Linked DNA regions of Arabidopsis thaliana. The protein of the gene in region 1 interacts with the protein of each later gene in a pairwise test. Each region holds a gene or a part of one and is shown in the gene's direction. Other genes may lie near its edges.

Region 1 (8,279 bases):
TTTTGGAAGAGAGGTGCCTAATTTGGTCTCTTTAGACACTTCTTCGACATGCCTTGCGGTGACAATGGCACACAAAACGCTAATCACGAGAAGCACAACAAACTTTGTGGCATTCATCTTTTGATTGTTTTTATCTTTTGGAATTAAATTGTATGTTTGTGGTGAGTTGTGTTGTGTGCTTCTTCCCAGATCATAGCCATCTATATATACACACAAACTCGATGCACATGTATTTATTAAGGTACGTGAGCATTCTTTATCAAAAGAGATACGTGAGCATTTCTTACAATAAATATACATTCTTAAATTTCATTAGTCAAATTTCAACTAATAGTCATACCAAGATATTTTAACACCTCTCTTGCTCAAGATCAATCGCATGTTTATATGGATATATTTTGGTAGACGAAAAATATTATTTTGAATTAACATGAATGTAGATTTTGATACCAATATAGTTAAATGCTTTATGCTTATAACGTACGAGTTAACTCACCGTGAGGCAGGTCGAAGATGTGTCCAAGGAGACCAAATTAGGAACCTCTCTTCCAAAAACTACTACCAAAGGCATTGGAGCTCAGCTTTCTGCTTATGGCACAACTGACAGCACCTCTTACGTCTCTAGCTATACTAGTGGTTTTAACAATCCCAAAGGTCCAGGGGCCAATGCAACGAAGGTTGCTCCACATATACTAACGGACAAGTCATTGCCAAGGGTCGCAAGGCAAAAGTTTCTTCTAAAAGTGGTTCTTACGCTAAAGGAAATGCGTCAGCTGCAGTGAACCGGAAAGCTGCTGCTGCACGTGCAAAAGGTACAGTAGGTTCCGGCTCCATTGTGAACGGCACTTCCTCTGAGAAGAAAGGCCGCAAAGGGAACAAGAATTGAGCGGGAGGTGCTCTCATGCATATTGCTGATCAATCCTATTAATAATATCCTTAAAACTACAATCTCACAATCTCTTTTGTGTTCATAAATAAAATCACCTCTAAATATTACTATGAAATGCTACTCTTTTGTCTGTAATGGCTTTATTTAAAACATATAATAAATGCATTATTTATGATCTTATATTAATTTTCTTCAGTATTAAAAAATATTTTTATTAGACTCCAACGTCATCTCTTGGTATGCTAAACATTATCTTCGAGACTTGAACATGTGGTTCTTGGTGCATTATATTGGTTAATGGTTATTCAAGCGTATTCAAGTTCCTCGTAATTTAGAAATTCTCCGACCATTAAGTTCGTCGGAAACAAAATGTTTTCTTGTAGAATCCCCTGTTCTCACTTTCCACACAGAATTTTTTCGAGCAATTTAAGTTAGCAACTTCATGAAGTTCTTTAAACCTAGAGATAACGTTTTTTTACACTCGAGAATTTCCTGAATATGGTAAATTCAAATGACAAAATCTTATAAATTGATAGAAATCTACAACAACAAAAGGGCGCCCGGTCCAAGTTTCTTGTACCAAAGCTATTGACACAAGTTCTAATAAAAAATCCTACAAAAGACAAAATATGGAAATATTTATTGATATTTGATTTACACATAAGACTTTAAACCTTTGCGGGGTATCGGGTAGCCAACTCTTTTTATAATGTTGAAAATTAAAATGAAGAAATAGAAAGTCACAATCTCTAAATTATTTGTTTTGTCATACAAAAGAGATTAATGTGACTTTGTAGAGAATATTTATACGTACATATAAGCCTAAGCATGATCACTTACGCTTTATAATGTTTCAAGGCTTTGCACCACTCCCACCGTTGCTACCATCTTCACTCACCTTTGCATTGATGACAAATCTCGTTTCAAAGTTTTTAGTAGTAAAAAGAACTTCGCTTTGTACGTTGGTACCGACTCCCATAACGGAAACACTAGGTTTTCCAGTGTTGTTAGTGGCAAGAGTTGCTTCACCTTCACGTAGAGGAGCTGGTCTTAAAACGCCATTAAGAGGAGCTTTGGTGCCAATAGTGGCTCCACTTTCTTTGATGGGAGAAACTCCTACAATGACACCAATAACAGGAGTTTTAGTGCCATTAGTGGATCCGCCTTCTGTTACATGAGACGGAGCAACTCCTCTAATGCCACCACTAAGAGGAGCTTTGGTGCCATTTGTGGCTCCACCAGTAACATTGTTAGTAGAGTTTCCAATTGGCTGTTTTTTATTCATGAGTTTGGTATTATTGGCCATTCCTCCGATCTTACGTGCTCCAACATTACCACTCAAAGCTGCAATGAATACCACCACAAGTAACTTGATGATATTCATCGTTTTTGGCTCTAATTTTTTTTTATAATCTAAGATAATATTTTGTTTGTGTAGCTTTGAGATTGTGTTCCTAATATCATTCCCACATGTATATAAATAATGTGTATTTTGTACTTACTTAGAGAGAAATACATAGATGTGAAGAGAGTTTTATACGTTTTAATAATCATTCATTATCTTATAGTGACAAATAATGACTCTTCTTCGCTTCATTGAAATTTCAGAGATGCAATGTCCACAAGAATCATGCACACTTGAGCCGTTTAACGTGTGTTGATTCAGATGGATGACTATGCGAAAGTATAGCTACAAAATCACCTAACAGTCAAAATTTAAAATAATTTTCCAACATAAATGTTTCGTATCGTGGAAAGTATAACTTTCTTTTAAAACAAAGACGGTGATTGCATTAACTCGTACCAAATCAATACCATGGGCAACTTAGAGCATGTCCAACGGTTAAGGCCCTAAAAATTTCTAAAAAGACAAAAAAATAGATTTTATTTTAATAGTTATAATCTATTTTTTTAATACAGATAGACCAGTAATAAAAATACATGTGTTATTTTGTTTGTGAGCTCGTCCCTTACTTACGGGTTTTAAGAGTTTCTCTCTCATGTTCCTACTAACTTTTGATTATTTTTTACTTTTTTTATTGTTAGGGCCTCACCTAAAAGCCTCCGGTTGGGGATGGTCTTTAATGCATTAACTTTCAAATCAATATGGGATTGCATTCACTTTCTTTTTGGGTCTTCAAAAAGTTCAAAAACCTCAAGTAATTTCCCTACTTAAATTATCCTTAAAATCTGAAAAAAGAGATTAATCAACTTCTTAAATTCTTCTTATGGTTTTGGTTTACTTTTACTTTTTTTGGCATATGATTTATTTATTAACATTGAAAATAAAATAAAAACAACTTAAAAAGTTGGGTTTAAGTTTTTTTTTGAGCTTTAACACTTGAAGAATGAAATCATAAGACTTTTAAGTTATAAAATCGAATATGGACTTAAATATATCCGGATATCCGTTATCCGGTTCAAATTCTCGGATTATTCGTATCTATATCTTTATTCGGACTATCCGTCGTTTTACTATCTGCATATGTTGGCCGGCTATCCGTTTGTTTGGATAAAAATCCGTGGTAAAATATATTAACCTCATGCGTACTTTGGTCTACTAATAATTAGACTATAAATATTATTCTAATTTTTTGGTGTGTTATTATTGGAGTTGTCTCCTACCAAACAAAAATGCGAAAAGAGTCAATTTTGAATTTTGATCATTTTGATAAAAAGTAAAAGAATCGTTTTATTAAATATTTTTAAATGATCTTTTTTTTTCAAAATCAATCAAACCCGTTATATCTAGATATCTATTAACCGGCCTAAATTCTAGGATTATTTGTATCCGTCGTTTAACTATTCGTATATCTGGCCGGCTATCCGTTTGTTTGGTTCAAAAACCGGATACGGATATCCACGGTTTAAATAGATTAACCTCATGCCTACCTACTTTTGGTATTCTAATAATTAGACTATTCTAATTTTCTGGTGTGCTATTGTTGGAGTTGTCTCCTAAAAAAAATGCAAAGAAGAGTCAATTTTGATCATTTAAAAATATTTAATAAAAACAATTCCTTTAGTTTAATTGGTATACTGGGCCATCAATGGGACCGACCACCAAGAGTTGTGCAAGCAATCGGATTATTTAGCGTTTTTGATGAGTTCCAGTAATCTATTTGCTTTTCTCAATAGCTTTAAAATGGTGAATTCGAATGAAGAAGACGAAAGGAGAATTCTTGACGTTGAAGAATCTCTTCTTACACAGGTTTCGACTTAAATCTATCAATTTGCGTTTGCCAATTTCTCTCCATTTATTTACCCCTTGACATCTTTCTAATTATAGCTATACTTTCAATTTTTAGAATCCACTATGTTCAAGATTCTAACCACAAAAATCCAATCTTTTTTTTGTCTGAATATCTCAGGAGGAAGTGAACAATCACTTGACCGGATTGTCTTCTACAGCTGAAGATGGTTCTATTGACATTTATGGAAACCCACCATCGAAGAAGAAGACAGGAAACTGGAAAGCTTGTCCCTTTATTCTTGGTAAACAAAAAAAAAAGATAAAAAAAAAATTCTTGTTTTATCAGTACTTATATATAACCTCCAAATTTGGTCTCAATGTACAGGAAACGAATGTTGTGAGAGATTAGCTTACTATGGAATTGCCAAGAATCTAATCACTTACTACACAAGTGAATTACACGAGTCCAATGTTTCTGCAGCTAGTGACGTTATGATTTGGCAAGGAACTTGCTATATCACACCTCTCATTGGAGCTGTTATAGCTGATTCTTACTGGGGAAGATACTGGACCATTGCTTCTTTCTCTGCTATTTATTTCATTGTAAGACTAATCAATCTCTTTGGATACTTGCATTTGTTTGTTTAGGTGATTTGCATAGTTAGTTAATCTTGGTTTTTGAATTTAGGGAATGGCTTTGTTGACACTCTCGGCTTCACTTCCGGTTTTAAAGCCAGCGGCATGTGCTGGCGTTGCTGCGGCTCTATGCTCACCAGCAACAACGGTTCAGTATGCGGTTTTCTTTACAGGGCTTTACCTTATTGCTCTTGGTACTGGAGGTATCAAACCATGTGTATCATCTTTTGGTGCTGATCAGTTTGATGATACTGACCCGAGGGAACGAGTTAGAAAAGCTTCTTTCTTTAACTGGTTTTACTTCTCCATCAACATTGGTTCATTTATCTCATCCACTTTGTTAGTTTGGGTTCAAGAAAATGTCGGGTGGGGACTCGGTTTCTTGATTCCCACCGTGTTTATGGGAGTCTCTATTGCGAGTTTCTTCATTGGAACTCCGCTTTATCGGTTTCAGAAACCGGGAGGTAGTCCGATTACTAGAGTTTGCCAAGTTCTTGTAGCTGCATACCGTAAATTGAAGCTTAATCTCCCTGAAGATATCTCATTTCTGTATGAAACACGAGAGAAAAACTCCATGATTGCTGGAAGCAGGAAGATTCAACACACTGACGGTTACAAGAAAATACCTGTCCCCTTTCAGTTTCTCATTTTGAGCTTTTGGAAATGTTCATCGGAACATAAACCTTTGTTTTTATATCTGTGCAGGTTTCTTGACAAAGCTGCTGTTATCTCAGAATATGAATCTAAATCCGGTGCTTTTTCCAACCCATGGAAGCTATGTACTGTAACTCAAGTCGAAGAAGTTAAGACTCTAATCCGTATGTTTCCAATCTGGGCCTCGGGGATCGTCTACTCGGTCCTATATTCACAGATTTCCACTCTATTCGTGCAACAAGGACGGTCCATGAACCGAATAATCCGTTCTTTCGAGATCCCTCCTGCTTCATTCGGGGTTTTCGACACACTTATCGTGCTCATATCCATCCCAATATATGACCGTTTCCTCGTACCCTTTGTAAGACGGTTCACAGGGATACCAAAAGGGTTAACTGATCTGCAGCGAATGGGCATTGGTCTTTTTCTCTCTGTCCTAAGCATTGCAGCTGCAGCTATTGTTGAGACAGTGCGGTTGCAGCTTGCTCAAGACTTTGTTGCAATGAGCATATTTTGGCAGATCCCTCAGTACATACTAATGGGAATAGCAGAGGTCTTTTTCTTCATTGGTCGAGTTGAGTTTTTCTATGATGAATCTCCTGATGCAATGAGAAGTGTATGCAGCGCTTTGGCACTACTCAATACCGCAGTCGGAAGCTACCTGAGCTCGTTGATCCTCACTCTTGTGGCGTATTTCACAGCTCTTGGAGGTAAAGATGGTTGGGTTCCAGACGACCTTAATAAAGGACATCTTGACTACTTCTTCTGGCTTTTGGTCTCTCTTGGACTTGTCAACATTCCTGTTTATGCCTTGATTTGTGTTAAGCACACAAAGAAGAAGGCTTTGTAAGCTATTTTTGTAACAAGCTATGTTGTTTTGGTTCATCATATTCATGGTATACTCTGTATATTGTAATCTGTACTAGTAGATTTTCTTAAAAATATGAATAATGTTTCCGCCATGTAAAAAGAGACTAGAAAGGTTATTTGTAAAAAGTAGTAGTTCAGGTTATTGAAGTTTGCATGCTTACGAAAGATCATCAACAATGGAGGTTTAATCAGCTTACAAGATCTGATACTTAAACCTAATACATGCTCTTTATTCGACACACTCATACATATTCAGATATTCTTTAAATCTTTGTAAAGAAATTAGTCTCGGTTTCTTCTGTCCAGTCAGAGTTTGGCTCGTTCCACGAGTTTGGTCTCACACCGAACTGGAAAAACAACGCCATCTCCAATGCCTTAAATAAGTTACTTTCGTCCAAAACTTTGTTCCATGCCCCACTCACTACACAGTAGTTGCTGTTATACGGTGCTTGGTGATGTCCCGGGTGATCTTTCCGTGAGACAAGCAGTCCCATGTCCTGCAACGCCATCACGAGAGGTGGAAGCTTGCTCTTGGTTCCATGAGCCCAAGCATGGAATTGTTGGCTTAACAAAATGCAAAATGCAAATGTGCTCACAAAGCTATGAAACAGAGGATTGTTAATTGCAAGGTTTAGTGGTAGAACTATAAAAGTTATGGCTCGAGCGATAGTGTATGAATTGTTGGCGAATTGACGTTTTGTGATTGTCCAGGGATACTTGTGATGACCCTGAGACGCTTCAAGTTGGGCTCCAACTATAGGTGTTGATGCACCACCATAGTTATCAATGGCCCAGTGGTAAACACCGGAGCCTAGATCAGCAAACACGTACCCTGCATAACACGCTAAAGCTGGTTGGAGCCAAAGATGAGAACCAAACCCTCCAATGATAGATTTAGCGAAAGAGGCAAATATGGTTGTACTTCCCGCTGCAACCCATAACCGATGAGTCCATGTCGATTGCAGAGTCGGGTCGTTGTTCTTGGAAAGAGGAGGATTCACAAGGCGTTTCTCAACTACAAGGTTCTCATGATTAAGCTGAGGATTGGTGGTAGTAACAGAGCATGTGACACGTACACGCGTTGGACCATAGCTTCTTGGGATGTTGGTGATGGGTCTTAGAGGGTTCTTGGTTTGAAATGATACAGCCATTGAGAGAGATTAGAGGTCAAAGATATCAAAATTATTGTTTTTGGCAAAGATAGATGAAGCGATCACGATATATAGTGGCAGAGATAAACCAGAGTTATATTGTAGCATGTGGCCATGTGGGTACGTCAGAGATTTATGGGGGGGAAATTATGATCAAATACATCATATAACAATAATTTATCTATCAAAATGTTTGTGGGCGTGATATTGTGATCTAATATATCAATTTCAAGAATCAACGTATCGAATCGTATTAATTGTGTATCGAATCGCAATAACTGATGTTGTACTTTGTAAGAAAGACGAATAACAGAAAATCAGTTATACTAAATCATTAAAGAGCAAACAACAATGGAGGTTAGTAGGTTACTTGTAGCTCGCGAAACTGGAATTGGTTGACCAGACAAACCTTTTTTCTTCTTTTTTGGATAAATGTTTTCTTTAATTAACAAATTACATGCCTAACGGGCCTAGTGATTTAGAGTAGTTTTGGGGGTAGAATGTTTGGGCTGTAGTGTAGAGCAACGAAAGTTAAGGAACTATTTTATGGGGGTGGCTAATTTAAATACCAATAATATTTGGGCCATAGTGTAGAGAAACGAAAATTAGGGGAGATTATTAGTTCATGATCCAGAGTCTCCAGACTCTTTCTTCTACGGAGGCCATTTGAAAATGTATGGATCTCGTTTAATGAAAATGGGCCATAAACTTGATGACTTTATTTGTTGCCCTAGAAATTTACTAAAGGTTTTAAAATTTAAATGGTGTCAATTTAGAACAAGGTCTACTAGATAGGCAAATTTTACCATATTAATTCCTAAATCGACATATGAAAAAATCGTAAATAAAAGATGTTCATATATATATTGCCTAATAAATTGAAAAT
Region 2 (7,451 bases), on another chromosome or scaffold:
ACATACCAAACTTCTCGAATTTCTCTGGATGCTCCACAGGGTATTGAACAGTCTCCTGAAGCTCTCTCTTAACATTCTCGAGACCTCCAATATCCTCCCAGGAGACATTTGGAACCTCCACAACAGTTTCACGAAGGGCGGATGGGTTGCTGTTTCCAAGAGCAGTGTGGAAGTGTTCATTAGACACAGCCATGGAATTGAGGATTTCGGCGTCAATTGAGTCATCTTCCAAGTCAATCACATCCATCTTCTCTCTGATACATTGAAGGGCAGCTTCAGTGCATAGAGCTGCAAGATCAGCTCCAACATATCCATGCGTGTCCTTGGAGATTCTTTCTAGATCAACATCTTCAGCTAGCTTCATGTTCTTCGTGTGGATCCTAAGAACTTCAAGACGTCCAATTTCATCAGGAACACCGATATCAATTTCCCTGTCGAATCTTCCAAACCTTCTCAAAGCCGGATCAATACTGTTGGGACGATTTGTTGCTCCCATAACAATAACATGGGCACGTGATTTTAGTCCATCCATAAGCGTAAGGAGCTGAGAGACAATCCTCCTCTCAACCTCACCATTCGTCTTCTCTCTTTTTGGTGCAATAGAGTCAATCTCATCAATGAATATGATAGACGGGGCATTCTTCTCAGCCTCCTCAAATGCTTTCCTGAGGTTGCTCTCACTCTCACCAGCTAGTTTCGACATGATTTCCGGTCCATTGATACAGAAGAAGAATGCTCCGGTTTCATTAGCCACAGCACGAGCAATAAGAGTCTTCCCGGATCCAGGAGGTCCGTAAAGCAGAATTCCCTTTGGTGGCTTCACACCAATTGATTTAAAGAGTTGTGGATGCCTCAAGGGAAGTTCAACCAATTCCCTAATCTGAGCCATCTGTTTCCTGACACCACCAACATCGTCATAACCAACCTCATCAAGCCTTTCTTCGTCCTCCCTCTTAACTGGTTCACCCTCACAGAAAATCTCTGTATCTGGAGCCACCACACAGTACTCAGCAGGATCAGTCTCGATCACTTTGAACTCCACACTCCTCATTCCTCCTCTCACTAGGAAAAGATCTCCCTTCCTCACTGGACGGTACGCCTCCAGAAAGTAAGCTGGTGAAAAAAACAATATAAGTTTAGAAAACACGAACTCCAAAAGACAAGCTAGACTATGATATGAAAGAGAGAATCAAAAGATTAAAGCAAACTTACGTTTCAGGTAAGCATCAAAGAGGTTTCCAGTAACGCCTTCAACTGTATCATCAACAGGCAAGATGTGAACACGCTTTCCATACTTGACATCTGGGCATTGGTGAACAGAAATAACATCTCCCAGCCTAACCCTCAAGTTAGACCTTACAACCTTATTCATTCTGATCTTGGGTTCCTCACATGTTTCATCAGCGAGGGCAATGCATACAGTGTCCTTCCTCTTCTTACCCTGAAAATCCAAAACCCCAATCAAGTAAGTAATCACAGAGATAAAAAGAACAATCCAAACCAATTCTAAACTCAAAAAAAAAAACTTCAGACAAAAAAGTTGTACCCTAACTGAATATGTTTACAAGATCAGACAAAGTAAAAAACATAACTGAATATGTTTACAACATGCTCGTGATATACAGTCAAGACACAGACGATCCAAACCAAGTCTAAACTCAAAACACCCTAACATAGTGACATAAGGAACAAAACCTAACCTTGATGAGAATTGTATCGCCTCGGAAAAGCTGGAGTTTTTCCATGGTAGTAGGATGGAGAGAGACAACAGAGTTGTCATCGTTAATAGCTTCATCGACAACAAGTCGGTTTGGAGACTTCTTCCTCTCTAGAATCGCAGTACTGAAATCCTTCTTAGTTTTCCTGAAACAAATACCCCAGGAAGACAAACAAAATCAGCTTTCAGATGAGATCAAACTAAAAAACCCTATTCTCAATATCGAAAAACCCAAGTAAAAAAATCGAAACTTTATGATCGGAAAACAAAAATCAAAGATCTAAGTACTTACGAGTCGGAGGATTCCGGTTCGTTTGACATAATGATAGCTTAAACTGACAAGAGAGCTCTAAGAAGGAAGTTGGGAAATTTGTTTCTAGAGAGATCGATTGGTGATGATGATGATGATGATGAATGGGATCTCAAGGGAGCTGAACTCGGGATTTTATACGCTCTGTGATTTCCTTCTTGTTGGAAAAATAAGCGACCCTTAACTTTTAAGTTTATCTTGAAAAGTTCCAAAAACTAGGTGTTGTGATAAATACACCCATGTTCCCTTAACATCATATCAATTAATTTATATTATTATATGATTTATCGAGAATCAAAACAAAAATCTACCTATATGAAGAATTAAAAAATTTGATGTAATTTTAAACTTATTTTAATAGTGTGGCGAGGGTACGTAAATGTTTATTAAAAACGTTATGGGGGAAAGTTGAAAATAAAAGTAAAAGAGAGGTGAGGATAACAGTTTTACTTTCTGGTTTTAGCAAACACAAGAAAGGAATAGAAGGTTCTTAGGTAGCGGTACCAAAGCAAGCTACATGTTTTTCTTACTTTTTTATAAATAGAAATTTAATATCTTACCATTTGATTTCTTTGTTCTAAAATAGATTTCCGTTTTTTTTATACGAAGTTATCAACATACGATTCAATTCAATAATTGCAGAAATTTTTGTTTGCATATGAATATATCATCAATATGAAATTCTAAATAAATATTCATAATTATTTATTATACGAAAAAATAATTATTTTCCCAAAAGATAAACCCTTATTGTTGTAAAAAAGTTATCAAACTAACTGAACTTTCATCTAATTAAAAATATTAGTTACTTAAAAAAAAGTTTGGGTTACAAAAGATTAATAGGAATCTAGGATATCATCAATCTAGAACTACGCGCCGTTGTTAGTCTCTTCGATATTAGACGTTGCGCCGTTTTCACTTTGAGATTTGCGATATTATAACTACATGCCGTTTTAAACTCCACTGATCGTCTTCTATTCTAGTTCGATTCTCGACGGAGAATACTCGACGAGAAAATCCAGATCGGGAATCAACTTAGAGAAGAAGAAAATTAAAAAAGAGAACTTCTAAAGATGAATTTGGGGTTCTTAGTTGGAGTTTTCGGCGTTCTTATTCTTTCTCATGCCGCTTATTCAACAATCCAATGTATGTCTACTCTTCCCAATCCAATTCCAGTTCCAATTGAGTCAGATCTACTTTAATTTTCGAGATAGGATCTTGATTTGGGTTTCTCTTGTTTATTTCAGATAGAGGATTGTTGAAGATTATGGAGGAAGAGTTTTCTCGACCACCGATTAATGTGAGTATATAATGATAACGGTTTCTCTTTTCCTCAATTGTGTTTGAATTATATCAGCAATGATTATGCTTTTATATGAATCATGATTGGATTTATTTAAGGTTATTCTGGAGTTGATCATTGGACTAGCTCTGTGTATGTGGGCTGCTTTGACTTTCCCTGGTAAATTTCTCTCGATCCATCCGGATTCTGATGAAAACAGGTTTGTGATCATGTTTCTCTCGAACTCTCTGTTTTGCATCAGTGTTAATCAATCTGAATTCATGTTATCTAGTGAGTGTTTTTACTATTGAATTTTTCTCTGTTCGTACTTTGTTGAACTTGGTGTAGAGTTACTACGGGTCTTATAGAAGCATCTTCTGGCTAGATTTGGTTCAATTATTCAGTTTAATCATGGGTGTTTCTAGTGAATATGTTTTCTTTTGACTGAGAAGGTTTACGGATGTGTTGTTAATCAATTGATTCAAAGAACTTGTGCTCTAGAGATGTTTCGAGGGTCTAGTTTTGATGTCTCTTTAACTCTCTGTTGTGCATCAGTGTTTATCAATCTGAAACATGGAAATTTGGTAGTTATTATATTTCCCGATGATTGAATGACCACCAAAGACTCATGTTTATTGATAAGAAACTGTCGTCTAGAGATGTTCTAGGTCAAACATTGATGTTTCTTTAATACTTTGTGCAGCTAAGGTTTTCTAAAATGCAGGACATTCAAAGGGACATTTTCTAGTTTATATTTGGTCCAGTTACGATTATGGGTTTCAAGAGCTTTAACCAGTTCTGCTCCTGGCTAATTCAATCAGTTTATATTTGTTTCATTGGCTCTTTAGACCCACTTTGGTTCCTTCTATGTCGCAGCCTCTCCCCTACCTTTTTGTACATTAGGTTCTTGAATTGGTTTTGAGTTTGGCTTTTGCTAGATAAAGTGAATATCTCCTGTTAACTGGTTTCTTTCAAAAAATTTGCAGGGCGGTGTTTTTACCAGATAATTCGGATTTCATGATATTCAATCACCGTGGCAGACTGTTCCCACCGCAGATCGACATGAAGTTTTGAATTTTTATCACACTGCTTAGTCAAACACTGATCTGTGTAATGTTATGAGATGTTTCCATTGAAATTCTACTCTAAGTAACTACTCTGCTTTGCATCAATTTTTGATTCTTGAAACGAGTCTTGTGATGTTTCTGTGTGTCAGGTCTCTACTTAGAATCTTTTAGAATGAAGAATCAACATAACAACAAGTGCACAGGTCCTAGCAGGATAGGATACTGTGTAAATAGTCAAATACAAACAATTAAAACAACAAAATTTGCTATTTTATTCATTCCGGTTACAACTTTCTGATACATTAGAAAAAGCATAACCGAACAGAACCGGTTTAGATTCTCTTGGCACTGTTCTGGAAGGTCCAACTCCAAATGTCATGACGTTCAACGCCACGGCCCATGGCACCAGAAAAACCGGGGTACATATTTTGAAGAAAAACCTTAGAGAGATCTAAATGGGCAACGATCAAAGGCTTCTTAGGTTTCTTAACGGTTTCTGGCGCGAGAGTAACTGTAACCTTGGAGTTTCTATACTCAATCCAAGCCTTGTACCTCTCTCCATTACTCAGCTTGAACTCTTTAAACGACCAGTGTTTCATTTTCCCAATTCCTGTCTGAACCCAATAACCAGCTTTCTCAGCAACAACGGAAGTAACAGAGTTGATATTAATCCCGACATGGTTATCATTAATGTCTCCAAAACCTTTGTCCTGAAAAACGTCGAATTCGACAGCAAAGATGTGGTTTTTGGGGTTGCCATTGTTGGTTTTGTTGAATATCCCGAGGTATCCAGCGGGTCCAGGACCGTCACTTTCAATGGAAGGGACGACAACAAAAGCAAGGCCGTGACCAGGGGCGGGTTTGATGCGAGTAGAGATGGAGAAAGTGAAAGAAGTTTCAAATGGATAAGGAGAAGAAGAGTTTGAAGAAGGCTTGAAAGGGACTGGAGTGGACCAAAGACTTTGGCCGTGAGAGAATGGGTTCTCGTCTCGTGTCATGGAGAGAGCTCCGGAGCGGCTGACGCCATCAGAAGCAGGACCGAGCTCAGCGTCTCCAAGGAAGACCAACTCTGAGGTTTTGAGGTTGAGGTTGAGGTTGACGGCGGAAGTGGTGTGAGCTAAGAGCAGAGCAAGAAAACAGAGTTTATGAATCTTCATTGCGTTTTCGTAACTGCTGTTTACTCAAGTGAGAGTTTGAAAGAGTGAAATTATTAACGTGGTGATTTATAAAGAGTAAAACATAAGCCCATGTACATGACGTCATATTGTATGATGTCAAGTAAACGCATCACCTACAAGATTTCCTTATCCTTTCCATAAATTGAACTCGACCAATAAAAAACGTGATTGTTAATAATGGAAAGAAAAAAAAATTAAAACAAAATCATCGAATGGTCACATCAGCACATGACATTTTGTCAAGTAAACGCGTGAAGACACTGTTGTGAATACACTCATTCAGCAGAGTATGTGTACAGTGTACGCATATCTCGTATATTAGATTGTACTTGTCTTTTGCGATGTGAAAGCATAGTATACGGTATCATTATGTGGATGAATGAATAGAAAACACTACGTCAAAAGGATAAGGAAAATCTAGTGGGTTCTTTAATTCTTTACCCACCACATAGACAACACTACGTCGTATAGAAATTTACTTAGAGAGTATTGAAGAGGAACATAGACAACCTTGTGTTTCTTCGGTGTAATTGGTCTAGAAAAGGACCAATGCAATGCAAAGATCGATTGCTGTTTATTTTTCTACGAGAGATATTTTCAAAGAAAATTCACTCAGGAAAAAGTAATTTGCTTTGCATCCCAAATTCTCATCAGTTTATCACACATATGAAATGTTCAACAATCTTACCATTGATTTCTTAGTAAATCGATCTCTGATTTTTCGTTTGAACGATTTTTAAATAGTAATCGTAATATTGTAGTTTAACCCAAAAATACTTGCACAATTGGTTAAAAAGTTCAAATTTTTTAGAGAGATCAAAGGTTCATATTTTCTCAACAAATAAATATTGTGAACTTACAATAAAAAATAGAAAATGGAGGGTTCTTTTGCAAAAAGGAGCAAAAACGGATTGAGCAGTGTAGTTGAGGCTTTAAATATGGCCCATGAGTCGTTGTGGCCCACAACTTAATATAGAAAAAGGTGCAAGTTGCATAGGCCAACGCCAATGTAACCCTCATTAACTTCATTATTAGTCTAAGAAAAACTCTTAGGCACGATCCGCAAGCTACGGACAGCTTGAGATTGTCTTGTCACACTTTATTTTTTTAATCTCTAAAAGTTGACCGTTGAATTTGTATTCGAACAGCCTGTAATATGGGATGGAGAGTGGATAGCCTGTATACATGATTATACATTGTTTGGTTAGATAAACATATACCAATATAGAGAGAGCAGCAAACATACCAAAATCATTCAAATCTCTCGCTTAATTACTCAGATAAACTCTCTATCGGCGAACGCTATGGATTCGGAGCAGCAGACGGAGCTCTTATTACGCATTAGTCAACTAGTGTCTTTCGTCGATCCTCTCTTTTGGATTTCGGATGAAGCAACGAGTTATGTCGTATTAGTCACTAGTCGCATAATCGATCTCCTCAGCTCTATGGATTTGGACTCGCTACCAAAACCGGAGACCAAACTCATGTCACTCACTACTCAAACCATAGCTCTCTTCAACACTATGGATTTGAAATCCCAGCCGAAGCCGCTAAGGAAGTTCATATCATTAGTATCTGAAAACATCCCTCTCGTCAACTCTATAGATTCTGCTACGGATCAGAAGCTCAAGTTGCTCTTTTTTAAAATAAGGGAACTCGAGCCGGAGCCGGAGCTCATATCACTCCTCCACCAAATTTACTACCTCGTCAAATCTAAGGATCCAGAGTGGGAGAAGCTTATTTCCTTATGCCCACAAGTACAAGTAAGCTTTCACGACGGAAAATTTCAGGTGACTGGAAATGTCCAGCGGTGCAGCAATAAAAAGCGGGACTGCCGATTTGAACGCTACAAGTTTTCAGGAGAAGACTACACCCATTTTCGCTGCTCGGCTTGCAA
Region 3 (7,825 bases), on another chromosome or scaffold:
TTGGATAATCGTTGTAATTGTGTATATGCAAAGACAAAATATAGTTGTAATCGTGTATATGCAAAGACAAATATCGAATGTTTGGATAAAAATTGTCAAAAAGGTAAATAATAGATATGAAAAAATCTAAGCTAGAAAATAATAAGATTTTTTCTCAAACAAATATGTTGGAATGCTACATTGCTTGATATGAAGAAAATTTGGTGTACAATATACTTTTTCATCTTATTAAAAGCAATACAATATTTTGGGTAATTCTTAAGATTTCGCCTTCAATATTAACTATATTGTAATCATCAAATAACAATAACCATATATAATCATAATTGTTGTAACCGTAATCATTTTAATCATAGATAGTGGTTAAAGTTAAGGTTAAAAAATTTTATAACTGTAACTGATGGTTAATAAACCGTACCCGTAATAACCGTAACCATAATCATCTTACGTGAACACTAAAATTTATATCCATCACGTTTAGATTAATCACCCATCTTTCGAAGCAAATAAGTTCCAATATGAGCTTAGAGGACATAAAACTAGTTTAGAGAAAGTTACACGGATACAAATTTGGATATATAGTTTAGTTAGGATATGATTTTATTGATTTTATTATATATTTTAAAAATAACTAAAACGTTAATGATGACGTAAGCTAATAAAGTAATAGATTAGAAATTGCAATAAAAAAATATAATGTATTTAATAAAATAGATTCATCGACAAAAAAATAATAAAATAGATTCATATAAAACTTGTATTACACAAAAGAAAATATCTTGGCGCAAGATAATAAAATAATTACAAAGTGATTTAAATTCATTTTGATTGCCGTCAAAAACAAAAATTCATTTTGATAAGTTATTACACCCAAAAAAACAAAAACAAAAACTTATTGGCATGCGGGGTACAAACACCGAGGAAGATATCGAAACACGTGTTTAAAAATGAAGAGACGATTTATTAAGCATCAATGAGAGAACTTCAGAGCTGGGTTTGAGTTCTGTCCAATAATACATAACCACGTTATCATTTTTGTCCTTTACTATCTCATTACACTCTTCTGTTATTCGCCCAATTCTTACAGTCATTGTCCACGTCATCCTTTTTCCCTCTGAAGCCGCCAAATATCAAAAAACACAAAACCTTTACCCGAAGCAAAGTAGCTGCACACTTGCCATTTATAAGGCATGTTTCTTCATCTAAAGCAAAGTATTTTCGAGTTCCTGAGCCAAAAAGATCAAACAATGTCTAAAGAAGCTGAGATGTCGATCGCGGTGTCGGCTTTGTTCCCTGGTTTTAGATTCTCTCCTACTGATGTTGAACTTATCTCGTACTATCTTCGTCGTAAAATCGATGGTGATGAGAACTCTGTTGCTGTGATTGCTGAGGTCGAGATTTACAAGTTCGAGCCGTGGGACTTGCCAGGTTTTACTTCGGTTTTCTTTCTCTTTATGTTTACTTTGGTTCACTAATTTGAATGTTTGTGCCTATAAAACAGAGGAATCGAAACTGAAATCGGAGAACGAGTGGTTTTACTTCTGCGCGAGGGGGAGGAAGTACCCGCACGGGTCACAAAGCCGGCGAGCCACACAGCTAGGATATTGGAAAGCGACCGGTAAAGAGCGGAGTGTTAAATCCGGGAACCAAGTTGTTGGAACCAAGAGAACGCTTGTATTTCATATCGGTCGGGCTCCTCGTGGCGAGAGAACGGAGTGGATTATGCATGAATACTGCATCCATGGAGCCCCACAGGTTCTTAAAACTTTCATTTTGAATAGGTTGAGTTTTAATGTTTTGAGATATATTGAAATTTGGATTTCACAGGATGCATTAGTGGTGTGCCGGTTAAGAAAAAATGCTGATTTTCGGGCTAGTTCGACCCAAAAAATGGAGGATGGTGTTGTGCAAGACGATGGCTACGTTGGCCAAAGAGGTGGTTTGGAGAAGGAGGACAAATCCTACTATGAATCTGAGCATCAGATACCAAATGGTGACATCGCAGAATCATCAAATGTTGTTGAGGTCAGCTTGCTTTTGAGGAATGTGTCTTTTAACGATGTTTAATACTGGTAAAATTATCCGCTCCAATCTTAATCGAAACCACATTAAATTCAATATAGTTCCGAAAACAGAACCGATTAAGAAACTAAAACCAAACCAACACCATAGTACCATACTATAACGGATTCATAGTACATTAGATTTCACTAAAGTTGTTATTTTACTAAAGCAGATTCTAAACTTAAAACGTAACAAACCAATATATCCAATGTTTGGTTTTTATTTTGGCTACTAATATTATAACTCAATAGACTAAACCAACACTTGGGCTGAACATCCTTAGTTTTCTTGTACTGGTAGAGTTTAGAGTTTGTAACTGAAGTTGATCTCTTTCTATTGCGATGCAGGATCAGGCCGATACCGATGATGATTGTTACGCCGAGATTCTGAACGATGATATAATAAAGCTCGACGAAGAAGCGTTGAAAGCTAGCCAAGCGTTTCGACCAACTAATCCAACTCATCAAGAAACAATATCAAGCGAGTCATCGAGTAAGAGGTCAAAATGTGGTATAAAAAAAGAATCAACGGAAACAATGAATTGTTACGCTTTGTTCAGGATCAAGAACGTTGCCGGAACCGACTCCAGCTGGAGATTCCCGAACCCGTTCAAAATCAAGAAAGATGATAGCCAGAGATTGATGAAGAATGTTCTGGCCACTACTGTTTTCTTGGCTATCTTATTTTCTTTCTTTTGGACTGTATTAATAGCTAGGAACTAAAGCTAGTTACGACATACATATTATTTATACATAAATAAATATAGTATTTGGTCTATGGCAATATGGCATGTTGAGCTAGTCTTAACAATTATTCAAACTTGTGTACAAACCAAAATTTTTATGGAAAAGAGAATATTTTCGGATAGTAAACCTTTATAATCTGGGTGAAAGCTTTGGGAAAGAGATGATAGTTCCGTGAAAATAGAGACAACAAATTTCACATATAGTAAATGTGAATAATACCACCATTTCCTTAAGTTTTGCTGTTTGTTGTATTAGAGATTGCAAAGTGATATTCTTAGTTATATACAATTGTAATAAATTATACAAAATCCATAAGTAAAATAAATTATTTTAGACTATGTTTAGATATACAAAAGTTTCAGTTCAAAATATAAACGCCTGAGAATCAAACAAATGTTGTTTGTAGTTTTTTATATTTATAAAATAGTCTAAAAATATTTTTCTTACTTATGGATTTTTTATACTATATTAAAGTTTTATATATGTAAAAGATTACTCTGGAACCTCTAATACAACAAATGGTATACCTTCAGAAAAAAATAAAAAATAATTGTGTGTCATACAATAAATAAAAATAATAAGGTGAAAAGATTTGCTTTCTGTTTTTTTTGGTGGCTGAAAAAAACAATGGCGATGATGCTTCTGCAAATTCCTCCTTCGTCTTCCTTGTTGAACACCAGAAACCTTCAAATCCGATTCTTCCACTCTTCAGTTTCAGCTTCCTCGAAGAAATTCAGATGCAGAGCCGTCCGTGAGAAGGCGGAGGACATTGATAAGAACATTTCGCCGCCGTCTTCTTCTCCTCCTCCTCCTTCCGCCGAAGAAGTTACCAAGAAATATGGCCTTGAAGTTGGTCTATGGAAGGTAAAATCAATTCGATTGCGCAATTTCTCGTTTTAATTCGTAATCTAAAATTGATGATTCTATCGCTATGGAAGCTTTAAGTGTAAGTAAAATAGTGTTTTTGGATGAACATGTGAGGACATATGATTGTTTCTGAGCTGAATGATAGGCTAATTCAGAGCAATTTTGGTATTAGTAGAAGCTATTGAAGCTTTAAGTGTAACTAAAATGGTGTTTTGTATGATTATGTGAGCAATTTTGTAGTTGTTGAAGCTATGGAAGCTTCTAAGGGTACTAAAATGGTGTTTAGATGATTATGTGAGTAGATATGATCGTTTTCGTGGTAGTTGTAGAAGTTATGTAAGCTTTTAACTATGCTAAAATGGTGTTTTTTTTTATCAACAAGTGAGCATATGTGATTGGTTAGTTTGGAGCATTTTTGGAAGTTGTAGAATCTATGGAAGTTTTTGTGTAGTAAAATGGTGTTTTGGATGGACTTGTGATTAGATATTAAGCTCTAAGGATGATGAAGGAAGTGATGGAGACAATAAGAAGAAGAAATCAAAAACAGATGAGGCTAAAGAGTTACTTGCAAAGTATGGTGGTGCTTATCTCGCTACATCTATTACTCTTTCTCTCATTTCCTTCTCACTCTGCTATGTCCTTGTGACTTCCGGTGTTGATGTTCAAGCTCTTCTTCTAAAGGTTACTACTTTCACTTCTTGATCATACTAAGTTTATGTTTTCTTGATCTTGGGTTGAGTAAAGCTGATTTTGATGTTTTGTGTTTAAGGTTGGGATTTCGACGAATGAGACAGGAGAGAAAGTAGGAGCCTTTGCTTTGGCTTACGCAGCGCATAAAGCTGCATCTCCGATAAGGTTTCCGCCTACAGTGGCTTTGACTCCTATTGTAGCCAATTGGATTGGGAAGAAAGTGGACAAGGAGAAGGATGATGACAAGTAGCTTACTTTGGAGGTATTATAATGTAGATGTTCTATATATTACTTGATAATCAACATACATAATCCTGTACAATCCTCACTTCTCTACCTTGTATGTACAAAAAAGATTGAAGCATATCTGAATATGATGATGAGTTAGAAAGATACAGAACCAAAGAGTGGCAGAATCCAAGTTGTGATATAGTTTTAGACTTGTCTATTTAATATGTGGTTGGTTGGAAATTACGACTTCACGATTCACTAACCTCTAGACATTTGGTAAGTGGGAGAAGTAGTTGTCAAATGGTTGGGAATGATCTCTGTGATCCAGAGCATATGACCTCGATCGTTTTGGTGATGCATTTTAACTTGTACTCTAGAACCTCATTATCTCGGCCCATCAAAATATGAAAACATTGGGCCGTAACAATTGGGCCGTAATCATCTATACCATCTATAGTTAATTGGATCTTTTTATCTCCTCCCTTCCTCTTTCACTTTCTTCCATGGATTACTAAATTCCTTAATCCTGGGAAAATCACACCAATCAACTTTTGTGAATTGTAACCCTAATCGATTCTACAGCGAAATCTACCTATTTCATGCTTGGGTTTGATTAGTGTTTTTCCAGAATCTGGGACTTCGCAGGAATTGCGCTAATTTTCAATCGATTTTGCAGAAGTTTGTTGCTCCTGGAATAGAAATCGAAGATGAAGAAGTACGGATTGCAAATCAGAGCTCCTTCCCAGAAAAAACAATCATCATCTCGACCTCCACTTCGACCCGCTTCAATATTTGATGAAGAAGAAGATCACGACGTCGAGAAGGAGATTTCTCGTCAAGCAACAAAGACCAAAGCTCATAAAGAAGTAAGCTTTTTTCCTCCACTGACTCGAGTTCTTGTTTCTTATATTTCCTTCAATTTGATCTGCTTGATAAGTGATTGTGTGTTTTAGATTGAGGAGCAGCATAAGAAAGCCTTAGAGGAGGATCCTTCTGCTTTTTCATATGATGAAGTTTATGATGATATGAAACAGAAAGCTGTTCTTCCTCGAATGCAAGATCGTGAAGAACGCAAGGTAATGTTTATCTCTTAGAGAGCTTAAGACTTGAAGCTTCTGTAGCTTAGGGAATCAAAATCTATGTTTCCATGTTCTTAAGAGGAATCTATGATCTGTGTCGGGCTTGGTTTATCATATGATTGAAGTATAGGAAGCCATAACTTAGCTGGATTTTCTTATTACCCTTAGAAACCACCAAAATCTTGATATCCTGCAATACCCTAACAACTACCAGCCTATAACCCATGGCTACATATAGTTACCAAAAAGTGTAAAGCTTAGTTACTTTGTTTTAGTTAAGTAGAGGTGAAGTTTCTGAGCCTCTACATGCGTCAGTTTTAGTAGTTTCTTATGGTGTTACATTCTCTGTAGTTGGGGCACTTTAATTAGGTTTCAGAATGACTTATTGGATTGCTTATGTTTCATTTAGTTTTCTTTTTCTAATTGCAGCCAAGGTATATACAGAATTTGATGAAACAGGCAGAACGTAGAGAGAAAGAACATGAGATAGTTTATGAGAGAAAGCTTGCGAAAGAGAGGGAGAAAGACGAACATCTTTTTTCGGATAAAGAAAAGTTTGTTACTGGCGCTTATAAAAGGAAACTTGAGGAACAAAAGAAATGGCTGGCAGAAGAAAGATTGCGTGAACTTCGTGAGGAAAGAGATGATGTAAGTTCTGTTTCCTTGTTCATTTTATTTCATGTTTGTGTTTCTATCTCTCTCGTCTATTAAACTAGTACTTGCTAGGATAGCTGAAGTCCTATCTTTGTCCTTTTACGTTTCTGTCTTAAGTAGCTTTGGTTTGGGAACTGTGTCAAGGTAGTTTGCATGTGGTGGCTTTTAGGACATGATGGGTGGGTCTAGAAACCATTTTCATGTCTCTGTATTAGCAATGGGGAGATATATAGCATATAGCTTTGGTAAAATTAAAGTGATTTGTTTTTATAGCTATTAATACTCATGTCAGCTCTTTTCCTTTGTTTTCATCTTCTGTTAGGTTACTAAGAAGAAAGATTTGAGTGATTTCTACTTCAACATTGGAAAAAATGTCGCTTTTGGAGCTCGAGAAGTCGAAGCTAAAGAGGCAGAGAAGCTCGAGGAACAAAGAAAGGCAGAGAAGCTCGAGGAACAAAGAAAGGCAGAGAAGCTCGAGGAGCTGAGAAAAGAAGTAACAAGGGTAGAGAAGAAACGAAAATCACCGGAGAAGGAAGTATCTCCTGACTCGGGAGAATTTGGATCAAGTCGTAGCAAAAGTTTGGAGCCACTAGAAGCAGAGCAAGCAGTTTCTGAAAAGGAGATGGGTTCAGATGGCACTGAAGAGAGAAAGTCATCAATCAAAGAGGCAGCAAAAGAAGTGCCGAAAGCCATTAACGACCAGAAGAGAAGAGAGGATGCGATCGCTGCCGCTAAAGAGAGGTTCCTGGCCCGTAAGAAGGCAAAAATTGAAGAGTATGTGCAACTTGGCTGATTTCAGTCCAATAGTTAAATCTTGGTGAACTTGTCTTCTTCTGATTATCGACCACCCTCTTTTTTATAAGTAACTTTTCAAGATAACGCTTCTTATATTACAGGGTCTACTTCCATTACAAATGCAATAGGTTTGATGGTTAATAAAGAAGAGAACGAACAAAGAAAAATCCCCTACGTTGAGATGCACATTGTCAGGGTCAGTTTAAATGTCCTAGTGGATCAAATTGAATGGTATATAGGAAAAAGTAAAAGTTAGAAAATTGAGGAAAAAGGAAACTTTGAAAGCTAGAATTTGAGGAAAATGGAAACCTTAGAAATTGGGATTTGACAGAGAATTAAATGGAAAGACCCAAGCATTGTTTTTTAGCCACTGACGACCAAAGAAATTCATTCTGATTTTTTATTCCTGACTAGTGCAAAAAATCTATAGCTATAAACGAACCTATTGGCGATTGATTCTGAGATGGAGGAGGCGAGACTCTCGACGTTACCTTTTAGTGCAAGTTTTAATCCTTCAAACCCATTAGGGTTTTTAGAGAATGTCCTTGACTTTATTGGGAAAGAGAGTAACTTTCTGAGGAAAGACACGGCTGAGAAAGAGATCACCGATGCTGTTACTACCGCAAAGGAGAGGTTGAGGGAAACGGAGAAGAAGACGGAGTCCATGGATGTGGAGAAGGTTAGACCCTCGACATTGCC

What was found. The genes of interacting proteins can lie anywhere in the genome.
Region 2: the proteins of PTR6 (region 1) and AT5G03345 interact in a protein complementation assay, tested with the Arabidopsis thaliana proteins (one large-scale study listed by BioGRID).
Region 3: the proteins of PTR6 (region 1) and AT2G27290 interact in a protein complementation assay, tested with the Arabidopsis thaliana proteins (one large-scale study listed by BioGRID).

The regions. Positions count from the first base shown.
Region 1 is NC_003070.9:22,980,090-22,988,368, reverse strand, and holds PTR6 (Major facilitator superfamily protein), read left to right. Parts: upstream 1-3,946; 5' UTR 3,947-3,992; coding exon 3,993-4,100; intron 4,101-4,260; coding exon 4,261-4,384; intron 4,385-4,467; coding exon 4,468-4,685; intron 4,686-4,770; coding exon 4,771-6,222; 3' UTR 6,223-6,424; downstream 6,425-8,279. Other genes in the region: AT1G62220 (uncharacterized protein), read right to left, coding at 1-117; AT1G62210 (uncharacterized protein), read right to left, coding at 1,743-2,273; AT1G62190 (Kua-ubiquitin conjugating enzyme hybrid localization domain-containing protein), read right to left, coding at 6,506-7,393.
Region 2 is NC_003076.8:811,096-818,546, forward strand, and holds AT5G03345 (membrane magnesium transporter-like protein), read left to right. Parts: upstream 1-2,989; 5' UTR 2,990-3,100; coding exon 3,101-3,177; intron 3,178-3,274; coding exon of another isoform or gene 3,275-3,278; coding exon 3,279-3,327; intron 3,328-3,428; coding exon 3,429-3,620; 3' UTR 3,621-4,212; intron 4,213-4,295; coding exon of another isoform or gene 4,296-4,383; 3' UTR 4,384-4,524; downstream 4,525-7,451. Other genes in the region: AtCDC48C (ATPase, AAA-type, CDC48 protein), read right to left, coding at 1-1,113, 1,213-1,441, 1,701-1,863, 2,010-2,038; AT5G03350 (Legume lectin family protein), read right to left, coding at 4,709-5,533; AT5G03355 (cysteine/histidine-rich C1 domain protein), read left to right, coding at 6,859-7,451. UniProt on the Arabidopsis thaliana protein: Mediates Mg(2+) transport.
Region 3 is NC_003071.7:11,675,378-11,683,202, reverse strand, and holds AT2G27290 (FAM210B-like protein, putative (DUF1279)), read left to right. Parts: upstream 1-3,283; 5' UTR 3,284-3,437; coding exon 3,438-3,674; intron 3,675-4,160; coding exon 4,161-4,358; intron 4,359-4,446; coding exon 4,447-4,617; 3' UTR 4,618-4,898; downstream 4,899-7,825. Other genes in the region: NTL8 (NTM1-like 8), read left to right, coding at 1,248-1,428, 1,502-1,755, 1,828-2,025, 2,412-2,786; AT2G27285 (nuclear speckle splicing regulatory-like protein (DUF2040)), read left to right, coding at 5,306-5,464, 5,552-5,674, 6,107-6,325, 6,654-7,124; AT2G27280 (coiled-coil protein (DUF2040)), read left to right, coding at 7,590-7,825.